Sus scrofa: one gene and its partners. The protein of the gene in region 1 interacts with the protein of each later gene in a biochemical or structural test. Links are inferred from orthologs where the notes say so. Each region holds a gene or a part of one and is shown in the gene's direction. Other genes may lie near its edges.

Region 1 (3,644 bases):
GTGATCAGAGAGTGGTCGTCAACTGTGTAATCACTGCCCTCTTTTCATAGCAAATATAACACCACCTTCACTATCCTCAGTGAAGACTTTACAGATAATACAATCTATCTATGCATTTTATTTCCCAAAAAAATTTATCTTGAATATGGTGAAGAAGTGAGGAAGGTTATTTATTATAAAATTAGACATACTTCAGTTTATAAACGCCCGGGTGTGACACCCCAGGTAACATAACAGAGAAGTCCAATAGTTAGCACCTGTGTACAGTCAGGCCCTTCTCATGTAAATGTGACAAACATGAAACAGCATAACGGGGTGTGTGAAGATGGCAGCTTAATTACTTTAAGTGACACGCGGTCAGGGACTTGGTAGGGTTCCAAACAAAACAAAGTTCAGTGTTGGGTTTATATGGCAGATGAGTTCCTGGAAAAAACAATTTTTGCGTATATGTGGGGTGGAGCCTGAGCCTTAGGTTTTAGGCTCAGATGTTATAAACATCATTGTCATCCATGTGACTCTGGCGGTGGCCCTCTGTTTCTGTGGAACCCGAGACAAGTCTTCACTGGGCAAGAGGGACCCCCAACCCCTGCCATGGTCCTGACGCCAAAGGAGGGGAGTACTCACACGTAGCACGACAGTCAGTCACCCCAGCAAACTTCTAGACTCCCCAGGGGACTTAGCAATAAATATCTACATCAACCATCACGTCCTCCCAGGGTTTCTAGTGCCGACTTAGCTGTAAATTGCTGCCCAGCAGTTCGGCTTTCTTACGCTCAGAAGCACTGCAGCTTCACCGTGACAACAAAACTCCCAGGGTGGAGAGTCACTAAGGAGAAATCTGTTGCAGCACTAAGAAAGAAATACAACTATAAATATAATAAATTCATCGAGTAGTAAAAAAAGAAAAAAAAATACCTCTGGGAACTAATCAATCATCACAGGAATTTTTAAATTGTAAATGAAGCAAAAATGGCTCTTTTCAAGCTCATAACTTAACTATAGCAGTTTCAGCTGTATAGACTTATTTTCTAAAAAGTTAACTAAAACCTTTTTCCCTTTTTAAAAAAGTCTTTCTTATTTTTTAATACAGTTTTAAAGGTTACACCCAATAGTGTGTACCTCCTACTCTGCCACCCCCATATTGCTCCCCACTAGTAATGGATCTCTGAATCTGCTTTTTTTTGGTCTTTTTGTCTTTTTAGGGCTGCACCCCTGGCCTATGGAGGTTCCCAGGCTAGGGGTCTAATAAGAGCTGTAACTGCCAGCCTGCACCACAGCCACAGCCACGCCAGATCCAAGTCACATCTGTGATCTACACCACAGCTCATGGCAACGCCAGATCCTTAACCCACTAAATAAGGTCAGGGATCAAGCCCGCAACCTCATGGTTCCTATTCAGATTCATTTCCGCTGCGCCACGGTGGGAACTCCCTGAGTCTGCTTCTTATTTTGTTATATTCACTAATTTGCTGTGTTTTTTAGATTCTACATGTCAGATCATACGGTATTTGTCTTTGACTTATTTCAGTTAGCATAATGACCTCCAAGTCCATCCACGTTGCTGCAGATGGCAAAATTTTGGGTTTTTTATGGCCAAGTAGCATTCAGTTGTGTGTATGTATGTATGTCTATATATATATATATACACACACCACATCTTCTTTATTTTTTCATGTGGATATAAACTATATTGAACTCAGTTTGATGTCTAATATTATGAGGTTTCCTATGTTTTAAAACATCACCTCTTCTTTATCCACTCTTCTGTGGATGGACACAGGTTGCTGCCATACCTTGGCAGTTGTAAATAATGCTGCTATGAACATTGGGGTGCATGTATCTTTACAAATTAGTGTTTTTGCTTTTTTCAGATATATGCCCGGGTATGGAATTGTTGGGTCCGATGGTAGTTCTAGTTTTAGTTTTTAGAGGAACCTCCACACTGTTCTGCACAGTGGCTGCACCAGTTCACATTCTCCCCAACCGTGTACGGAGCTTCCCTTTTCTCCACATCCTCGCCAACATTTGTTATTTTGTTCTCTTGATGACAGCCATTCTGGCAGGCGTGAGGTGATCTCCTTGTGGTTTTCCCTTTTTTAAGAGAGATTCCCCTGGAGCTTCAGCGGCTGGTCCGTGGCGGCCACGTGAACTTGGATATGGAGGACCATCAGGATCAGGAGTATGTTAAGCCCAGGCTGAGGTTCAAGGCTTTCAGTGGAGAGGGACAGAAACTTGGAAGGTAAGATCCTAGCTGAGAAAAACACTTGTCTTGTTCAATATGCATTTGCTTTGAAAAGAAAAGCAAAATCACCTAAAAGTAAAAACTAAAATACGAACTGTATAGACCTTGCTGATGGAATTAGATGTGCAAATCTGGTGATAGTGTTGGCAGGTAATACTTAGACAGCAGGTACCACATTCCTGGCCCTCTAGGCACGTTCGCCTGCATTGACCCTCTAATCGTCACAACAGCTCCTCGGCATAGGTCCTCTTATTACTCCTTGTGTAATGCAGTCGTTTGCCATGGGTGAGCTAGTAAGTGGTCAGCCTGCGGGGGTCACACCAGGCATTCAGGCTATGGAGCCTGTGCTCTTTACCACCAAGCCATCATCCCGCCTGTTTCTGATTACGATTTCATGGGCTCAGAGAGGGGAAATGTTGATGAGCTGAAAACCGTAGATACTTTAGGTCACAGCTATAAGCATCCCTCTGCCGTAGGTAGCTGTTGAGCTCCCAAAGCAAAAGCAGTGTGCTTAAATTGGTTATTTGCCGTATATTTTAAGCAGCCAAACTCTTCCTTCAAGTTATAGAAACAGATATAGAACTTCTCTGATTGTAGGAAGAGGGAATTTTCTCTGAGACATTTTCCAAAGAACCCCGGGACTTTGCCAAGCATGATTCAGACAAAGCCAGCGTGCATGGTGGAATGTCTGAGTGGGCTCCCTTGTAACAGCCACAGCTCGGCTCTTCCTGAACCTTGTAAAGTGTGCAGGTGGAGCGTGACCATCCCTTTGTCCACACGTTACTGCAGGTGGCGTGCTGAACTGTGGCTGAACTTCCAGCGTCCCTTTTGTACACGCTTTGTCCTTTCGATGCGAGTCCTTCCCCTCCAGGTTTTTTTCAGGTGCTTTGTGCACACAGGTTCTCTTTCCTCATTCATTTCCCAGCAAAGGAACGAATTCAGTATCCGTTCTTTCACCTGTCTTATATCTCAAGTCTCCCTTTCTATATCTTCGTCTTTGATGAGAGGCTGACTTCTGAGATGTGTGGAGCGCACAGTAACAGGAATTGACCTGGCTTTTAGGACAGATCTGCTTGGAACTTTTCGCTCTCATCTCCTTACTGCCAACACAGTCAGGCTTCTCCTGAATCATTCTATTTCTTCCCTCCTTTTGATTTCATAACTCTGACCCCAGATTTTTTTTTTCTTTTCTTTTTTTTTTTTTTTTTGGCTGCATCATGCAGCCACTTGATGTGGAATCTCAGTTCCCAGACTGGAGATTAAAAGTGCCAAATCTAGGCGTTCCCATTATGGCACAGTGGAAACGAATCCGAGTAGTATCCATGAGGTTGCAGGCTCAATCTCTGGTCTTGCTCAGTGGGTTAATGATCCAGCATTGCATGAACTGTGCTGTGGGTCGCAG
Region 2 (3,678 bases), on another chromosome or scaffold:
TAGTCTATAACGCTGACTGGGTAAAGCCCCGGTTTCTTAGCAAAGCACACAGGGAGGGCCTCCCGTGTGGCCATGCCCACCCATCAGTTCTTGTCTGGCACGCCCCTCACGTCCCCACAGTACAAAAGTGAGTTTCCTTCCGTGCAAGCAACTACGACTTTGTAGGTTGTTTTCTTTACCTAAAAAACTCATTTGTCTTCTTGTTCTCTTTTTACCGCTCTTTTGCTCCCTGAGAAACATGCACATATTTTTTGTCTCATCATAAACTGGTCTGTATTACAATTTATGACCATTTCTGTGCTTAATCTTACTCATCTTCCCCCCCCCCAGGACAAATGTAGGCAGTAACTCAGTTTCATAGGTAAGTCTTACATTTATGTTAATAGTCCAGTGACTTACATTTTTGTTAGTATTTATGCCAGTCTTTCCCACTAGACCGGGAGCTAAAAGGCAGAATCTTGAGGGTTTTATGCTCCTCCATCTTCAAGTTCTGATAGTGACAGGAAAAAAAAATACAAGTTGAAGGGACATTAAGTGCCCTGCTCGAACACCTGCAGTCACAGGGCGAGGATTAAAACCCAGAGTCTTAATCAAGTGTGTTTCCAATTGCCCCTGGGTCCCCATTCTCTAGTTCCCAGACGAAACAATAAGGAAAGGAGGACAGGCATTGTCATTGCCCCTTGGTTTTCCTCGCCCTCCCACACACCCCAAGGGATATGGGGTTATGGGGGGTGATTGGGGGCTCAGCCACAGGATGTTTAAACCAGGTACAGCGTCCACTTTGTAGCTGCAAGTCATCGCTACCCTTGCCGTTCGCCGTGGTGCGGTGCAGGAACGGGTTCTTGCCGTTGATCGCCCCGCCCCTGCTCCCACACCTCAGGGACGCCTCTTCCGCCAAATTCGTGTCGCCTCCTTGCGGCGCCTGCGCACTGTCACATTACGGCGGAACTAATCCCGCGACCCTGCGCTCTGACGCCTTTAGTGCCAGGAAGGGAAAAGGGGGACCACAGAACGCGTCACACCCGGAAGCGGAGAGCCGGAAGTGGGGTTGGACAGGTTATCCCCAGGGGTGGGGCAGCGGAGGCCCAGGAGGAGGGGGAAAAAGAAGGTGGAGGAACCTGGCTACTAATCTGAATCCGATACGGATTCTCTTAGACCTCAGAGACACAGAAAAGAGAGAAGGGTGCCTCATCCCCCTTCCTCCCCTCCTTCCTCTCCTCAGCCTTAGCCATGGCGGAGGCAGGGGCCGGGCTGAGTGAGACCGTCACTGAGACAACGGTTACCGTGACAACCGAGCCCGTGAGAAAGGCGGGGGGCGGTGCTGTTTAGGGGTCGGGGAGCTACCGGGAGGGAAGGGATAGGGCTTTGGAGAGTTGCTGGAGGGGCTGGGCCTGGGGATGTGGGAGGAGTGGGGTTGTGAGAATCGCAAGGTATTGGGGATTTTTGGTGTGTCAGAGTTGGTGCAGAAGGCTGGTCGAGAAGCGTGTTATATATAGAGTTAGGATGTAGGTGATGCTGCTTGGGGGAGGGGGGCTTGTAGAAGTAAAGAAAGAACGGGAACTTGGAGATTACGGAGCAAGGGAGGTGCTGGGGGAAATGAAGGGCTGTGTAAGAAAGCATGGTTGGAGGCCAGCTGCAGGGGAACTTGACTGGAAGCATGCTTATGAATAAGTATTCGTTGAAGGGATGAATGCGAAAGGAAGCAAAAGAATGAGGGAACAAGAAAAGGGAGATGAAGATAGTATTTTGAGAAACCAGCGGAGATGTAAATAGAGAAAAATGTAGCATTTTTGCCAAAACAGGTTAAGTTGCTTTCATTGGGAAAAGATTGTATGGAACTTCATAACCCTTGAATTAAGGGAGTTTAGAGTAATAGTAATTGGAGCTGTCAGGATGGTGGAGAATAGATGGATAAGAGGTGGGGAGTGCTGGGCTTGAGGATGAGACAGGTGAGAACAGAGTTCTTTCTTTAATGGGAAAAAGAATAGGGGGTCTGGAAAAAGAAAGAGATCAAAGAGTAGGCATCGGTGACTGAGGAAATAATTTCCATGTGTTAATACCACCAAGGATGATTTGGGGAGGAAGATGGAGAAACAGCGAGGATTATATTTTCCTTTGAAGATTTGCTGGGACCTTCCCTAGGTTAGGAATTGTGTCTTCTCTGTATACTAGTGATTACCAAGAACAGGAGATAACATGTCACGATTCCTCTAGGGACACCCTGAGGTCCAAAACCTGTTCTATTTTATCTTCTCCCAGCCCTCAGCTCCTCTGGCCTTAGGTCCATGATCCTGACTGAGCTGGGAAAGGGAAGAGAGGAGCCCCCCCCCCCCAGCTCCCGCCCCGGGAGGTAGGGGGAAAGGTTAGTGGGAGGGGATTCGATAGGTAAGCCCATCCTTCTTACCTTCCAGGAGAACCGGAGCCTAACCATCAAACTTCGGAAACGGAAGCCAGAGAAAAAGGTAGAATGGACGAGTGACACTGTGGACAACGAACACATGGGGCGCCGCTCATCAAAATGTGAGTAATTGTTGGCCCACAGTAACCCTGGAGTCCTGGCTCCCCTGAGCATATCTTCTACCTTGTCACATCCACTGGCCTTCCTGAAGCCTGCAGGTGCTCACAATTCTGTCGTTGTCTGGGGGATTCTCTGGTGTCAGGGAGAGAAGGTTAGAGTTAGAGGGAAGGAGGTCAGGAGGGGCTTGAACTGGGATGTGCTAAGGCCTGAAGTCAGGACATATCTGAAATGGGAGAAATGGAGCTTTAGATTCCTGGCTGGAAAGGACGAGGGAGTTGGGTGCTTGAGTCCCAGGGTGTGAGCCAGGGCTGCTGGATCCTGGAAGGTAACTCTTCCTCCTTTTTAACTGGGCTCCTCCTTTCAAATCCAGGCTGCTGTATTTATGAGAAACCTCGGGCTTTTGGCGAGAGTTCCACGGAGAGTGATGAGGAGGAAGAGGAGGGCTGTGGTCATACACACTGTGTACGGGGCCACCGCAAAGGACGGCGTCGTGCAACCCCGGGACCAAGCCCCACCACCCCTCCGCAGCCTCCCGACCCCTCCCAGCCCCCTCCAGGGCCAATGCAGCACTAAATTCCTCTCTCCCCCACCATTCCTGTGTCTGTCTGGCCCTGAATGTATTCATGTGGCTCCTTGGGGACTAAACCCATGTTTGATCCCTTCTCCAGCCCCTTCCTCCCCTCTCCGGATAGAAGGAAACAGGAGAGGAGGGTGGACAGAGATCCCGGAATTCTGACTTGCTGCTATTCCAGAGCCCAGGCTTCTGGGTTCTCTGAGTCCTCATTTCTCTTCCCAGTACCCAGCTTCCTCTCTCCAGGGATCCAGGCATCTTGGTCCCAATCTCTTCCCTTTGTTCTCACTGCCAAACTGCCTGTCCTGGGATCCAGTTATCCTGGCCCCATGCACTCTCCACTTGAGTCCCAAACAGTTAAACTGGGTTTCCAACAGCCCCAGCTTTCACTGCCAGGGTCCTAGTCAGATTCCAGGCAACCTCGGCCCAGCTACGCTTGTTACCCCTGGCTTAGAGCTCTTCCACTGCTGTCTTTACATAATGCTAACTCTTAGTCCTGGCCTGTGGGATTGTGAGGTCTTATGAGAGACCTCAGGGCGCTCTTTCCTTCCTCTCCTGCCCACTCCCCTCATGCCCTTAAGAGAAGTTA
Region 3 (4,272 bases), on another chromosome or scaffold:
TTAAGGATGCGGCGTTGTCACTGCCCGGAATCGGGTTCGACCCCTGACCCGGGAACTTCCGCGTGCGGTGCGCGCGGCCAGAAAGAAAAAAAAGGCGCGGGTGAGCAGGTTGAAGACAAAGGCCAGAGAGGTAGCGGGCTCACGCTTTCACCCCGCGCTGCGCGGAAGAGCTCCGTGCCGCGCGTTCTCCCGGGGCCCACCTTCCAGCGGGGACGAGGGCACCCAGCCCCTCCGAGGGTGAGGATAGTGCGGGGGGCGTGTGGCCCCAGGACCTGCCGCGGCGCGGATGGCGGCAAACGGCCGCAAGGCGGCAAGCGGGCCTCCAGCCGGCCGGACCGCACGGAGGGAAGGCGGGCGGCGCGGGGCGCGGGCCGGCTCTCAGCGCACGCTTCTCACCGAAGGCCGGAGAGTCACCCGCCGAGTTCGCTTCACCCGCCAAGAAGGAACCGATCCGCGCCTCCTGCCCCGCCAGCCAATGGCAGGGCGGCCGGCGCCAAACGGCAGTCCCCACGGGCCAACCCCTGGCGCCGGTGGGCGGGACCCAGCGAGCGAGCCGAGACGCGCGCGACAACGGTTGCTAGGGACGCACCGGAGGCCTACGGCGCCTCGGAGGAGCCAAAGGGGCTGCGCCTCCACCTGCGCAGTCCGCGGACGCCGTGCTTCTGGCCTCAGGATTGAGGCGGTGAACAGAGCGGAGCTTGCCTCCCACAGGCGTCGGCCTGAAGGCAGGGCGCGCAAGGCGGCTCCTTCACGGCCCATGCTGCCTGCGGGGCCGGGGACTGACGGCGCTGTGGGGCCCGCAGTGGCTGGGTCGGCGTCCCGGGCCCCGACCTGCTCTCCAACCCCGCGTGCGGAAGGTCCCGGCTCCGGAACGAGTACAGGCGCACTGAGCTGTGCGTTAGCTGGAAGCGGCCCCTTCACACGGGCCAACTCCGCGCAGCGACGTTGGGACAAAGTCTGCCCATTGTGCAGACGCAGCCACTGAGACCCAGCGGGGCCGGTTCGCACTCGATTGACCCTCACTTTGCAGCCCCACGCAGGGACCCGCCCCTCCGTATCCAGCCACCAGCCCACGAGCGCGGATCGCCTCCCAGACTCCTCCCGCTCGCCTGCAGGCTCAGCTCCATGCGTCCGGCCCCGACTGCACCTGCCTTTTTCCCGCTCCTCGCTTCCAGAGCCTCCCCGGCACTAATCAGCTGCCTGCCGGGAGGTGAGGCTGGCTGCGGGGGGGCTGAGGATGGGCGCGGCCTCGCAGGAGGACTACAACTCCCATGAGACTCTGGGGCCGCGCAAAGCGCGTGGGACTCCATTGGCTGGGAAAGCTCTGAGCTGGGAGCCCTGATTGGCTGAGGGGCCTGAGGCGACAGATTCCGGAAAGGGGGAGAGCAGCGAACATGGCGGCGGAGCGCGGCACGGGCCAGCAACAGTCGCAGGAGATGATGGAGGGTGAGTGGCCTCGCGGGGCGGCGACCGAAGGGCCCAGCGGGTGGGGGCGGCGGCCCGTACCGGACTTGCCCGAGAGAAACGGGGCGGCGCGCTTCCGGCCGCGGCTTGGGCCCCGCAGCGCGCGCCGTCTGACATCTGCCAGCCGGCAGGGCGGGGGCGGCCCCGGACCTGGGGACCCCGGGCAGAGGCGTAGCGGGCGGCTGGGGAAGTGCCCAACCCAGAGCCAGGGGCGAGAGGCGGGGCGAGCCGGGCGCGTGGGAGGGGACTGAGGGCGCGGTGGTCCCGCAGCCCCGGCGTCGGCCAGCCCGAGGGAGCCTCCCACCGGATCTCTTGAGCCTGACTCGCGAGCCAGGTCCCCCGGCAGCTGACGATGAAACCGGGCACGGGGCTCCCTGGGACCTGCCCGAGTCAGCGTGGCGGGGCTGGAGGAGGGTCCTCGACAGCCCGTGGGTTGTGGGGAAGGGGTGACAAGGAGCCAAGAGTCGAGTTTTAGAATCGACAGCTTTCTGTTTCCAAAGCTATCATAGTTCAAAAAAAACCTACATTTCAACTTTTTTGCTTTGTTGAAAAAAATTATTTGCGTATTGTGTATGCATGTAATTACCTACACACACTTAACCCCGACCCGGAGAGTCAGCGGTGTCTTTGGGTGCTTACACACGGGCGTCCGCAGCTTTCCCAAGAGCAGCCGCTGTCTCGTGTGTGAGGTGCTAGCTAGGGAAGGAAGGGTGGGGAGCCGAGGGGAAAACAGGAAGGCTTGGCATGCTTGGGAGTGGAGGCTGCACAACCAAGGCCCGCTCTTCGCTGAACCTAGAAGGCTAACTGCAAGTCAGCCAGGTTGTGGATAGGCTGCGGGACAGATCATAGATCCTTTCAGGTGAGGGAAGCCGCTTGGATGAGGGCAAGAGGGTGTGAGAGAATGTGACCCGTTTGGAGGAGCGCACAGTCATATTGAGTGGGGGAGGGTGCCAGCGACGCTGGCCAGAGCCGTCCTGGAAGGGGGCACACGTGAAAGGTCATGGACTTTGAGGCGTTTAGATCTTTTGAGGCAAGGAAGCACCGCTTCTCATCCCCCTTCTTCCCACCTCCCACCTCCCTGGGCTTCCTCTTCACCTGTTTCCTTGTCTTGGTAAATGGCAAATGGCAACCCTAGCAGTTCTCTCTCTCCTGCTCCCACCCATGCGATTAATCACCTCCTTAATGTCTCCAAATGTTCACTACCGCTCCCATTCCTACGGCCCATACCTTGAGCCCGTCCCAAGTCTCCTTGTGTGCTGATCTGCTGTCCCTTGCCCTGCCCCTCAGGATAGTCCCAAGGTTCACTTTGGCTGCCCTTCATTTGCTAAGCCCCGCCCGCCCTGGGCTCAGCCACGCCAGACCATCGTCCAGGAGAACTTGCTGCCCCTTAGCCTTGACCACAGAGTGCCCTGTGCCTGCTAACAGCTAACCTATTAAATGTCTACACGTGTGTCTTGCACATGTTTCGTGCCTGATAGCAGCTCCGAAATGCAAGGGCTGTACCACCTCCTTCTACAGACAAGGGGACTGAAGAAGGAGAAGGAAAAAAGACGCCAAAGCCATGTCTGCCGGGCAAGATGCAAACGCAGGAAGAGCCCTGGCACTCCAGAAATTGTTGGAGTCAAAGATCAGATTTGGATTTTAGAATCAGAGCATTCTCTAGCAATGGAGAATAGATTAAACAGAGCGAGACAAGCCACCGAGAGACCAGTTGGGAGCCCAGGCCCCAGGTCATGAGCAGCTGATCCAAGGCAGCTGTCAGGGCAGGGAGAAGGGATGGCCTGGGAGGTTCGAGGGCTGGCTTTCGTTAGGACGTGCCCACAGTCCTTTCCTGGGTGCTGATTTGCTAGGCCCGGCAGGAGAGGCAAAGATGAAACAGAGCTTCCTTTCCCTCAAGGAGCACACCCTCTGTAGCTAAGTTCTTGTCGAAGAGGAGAGTGGACGTCCAGGGTGGGCGAGGAGTCCAGGGCATCTGTTAGTGCTCCAGGTCTTCCAAACAGGCATCTGGAAGAGGCTGCAAAGAAAGTTAGGAAAAAGGAAAATTATCTGACAGTCTTGCCAAAGGCTTTTTAGGAGTCTGCCTCATCTAGCCGTTGCCTGATTTATTCATTCACAAAATATTTATTTATCAGCCTTCCGAAACTCTGTGCTGGTATCACGGTGCCCTGACACTCAGCGTCAGTGACCTTCCTGGGGCATTTGCACCTCTGGCTGTCTTCTCCTTTTTCATAGAGCTCCCCCTGCCCACAGTCTGATTTGAGTTAGTCTTGATTTCTTTCAGCACGTGGGCCTGTGAACTGGGCTGGTTTTCTTGGCCAAGTGGATAGTGGAGCGTGGACGAAGGTATGTGGCAGCAGGGTCACAGTAGTGCCCTCTACGTGGCATCTAGGCCAGAAGCGAGCGGAACAGGAGGTGCTTCACGTGTTGCCATTAGCGCCTTGAGTCGCAAAGCGCCAGGGCTTTCAGAATGCCTGGCGATTCTCCACGAGTTCCTTGAGGGCAGGAAGAGGTGGTCACTCACCTCCACACCCTGTGGCCTCCCTGCTCTGCCCCCCCCCAGGCCCCCAGGTCTCCCCTCCACCGGCCACCTCAGAGGGTGCCCGGGACACCCATGGAGCACGCTGAACTCAACAGACGTCTTTGAGCGACGTCTTTGTGATTTGTAACTGGGTATCAGTCTTACATGTTCTTCCAGGAGCCCCTGGAAGCGGGTGTGAGTTCTCATGGCTGTGTGTGGGTTCAGTTGACAGGCGGGTGGAGTCGGAAGAGTCGGGCGACGAAGAAGGGAAGAAGCAGAGCAGCGGGATA

Evidence for each region.
Region 2: the proteins of UBXN2B (region 1) and PPP1R11 form a complex in vitro, tested with the Homo sapiens proteins (2 studies listed by BioGRID). The link is inferred for Sus scrofa from reciprocal best matches to the Homo sapiens genes UBXN2B and PPP1R11.
Region 3: the proteins of UBXN2B (region 1) and PPP1R7 form a complex in vitro, tested with the Homo sapiens proteins (2 studies listed by BioGRID). The link is inferred for Sus scrofa from reciprocal best matches to the Homo sapiens genes UBXN2B and PPP1R7.

Annotation. Positions count from the first base shown.
Region 1 is NC_010446.5:74,417,009-74,420,652, reverse strand, and holds part of UBXN2B (UBX domain-containing protein 2B), read left to right. Parts: intron 1-2,101; coding exon 2,102-2,239; intron 2,240-3,644. UniProt on the Homo sapiens protein: Adapter protein required for Golgi and endoplasmic reticulum biogenesis. Involved in Golgi and endoplasmic reticulum maintenance during interphase and in their reassembly at the end of mitosis.
Region 2 is NC_010449.5:22,632,844-22,636,521, forward strand, and holds PPP1R11 (protein phosphatase 1 regulatory subunit 11), read left to right. Parts: upstream 1-1,230; coding exon 1,231-1,299; intron 1,300-1,379; exon of another isoform or gene 1,380-1,907; coding exon of another isoform or gene 1,908-1,949; intron 1,950-2,411; coding exon 2,412-2,520; intron 2,521-2,888; coding exon 2,889-3,091; downstream 3,092-3,678. UniProt on the Homo sapiens protein: Atypical E3 ubiquitin-protein ligase which ubiquitinates TLR2 at 'Lys-754' leading to its degradation by the proteasome.
Region 3 is NC_010457.5:139,916,645-139,920,916, forward strand, and holds the start of PPP1R7 (protein phosphatase 1 regulatory subunit 7), read left to right. Parts: upstream 1-1,361; 5' UTR 1,362-1,394; coding exon 1,395-1,446; intron 1,447-3,745; exon of another isoform or gene 3,746-3,807; intron 3,808-4,207; coding exon of another isoform or gene 4,208-4,272. UniProt on the Homo sapiens protein: Regulatory subunit of protein phosphatase 1.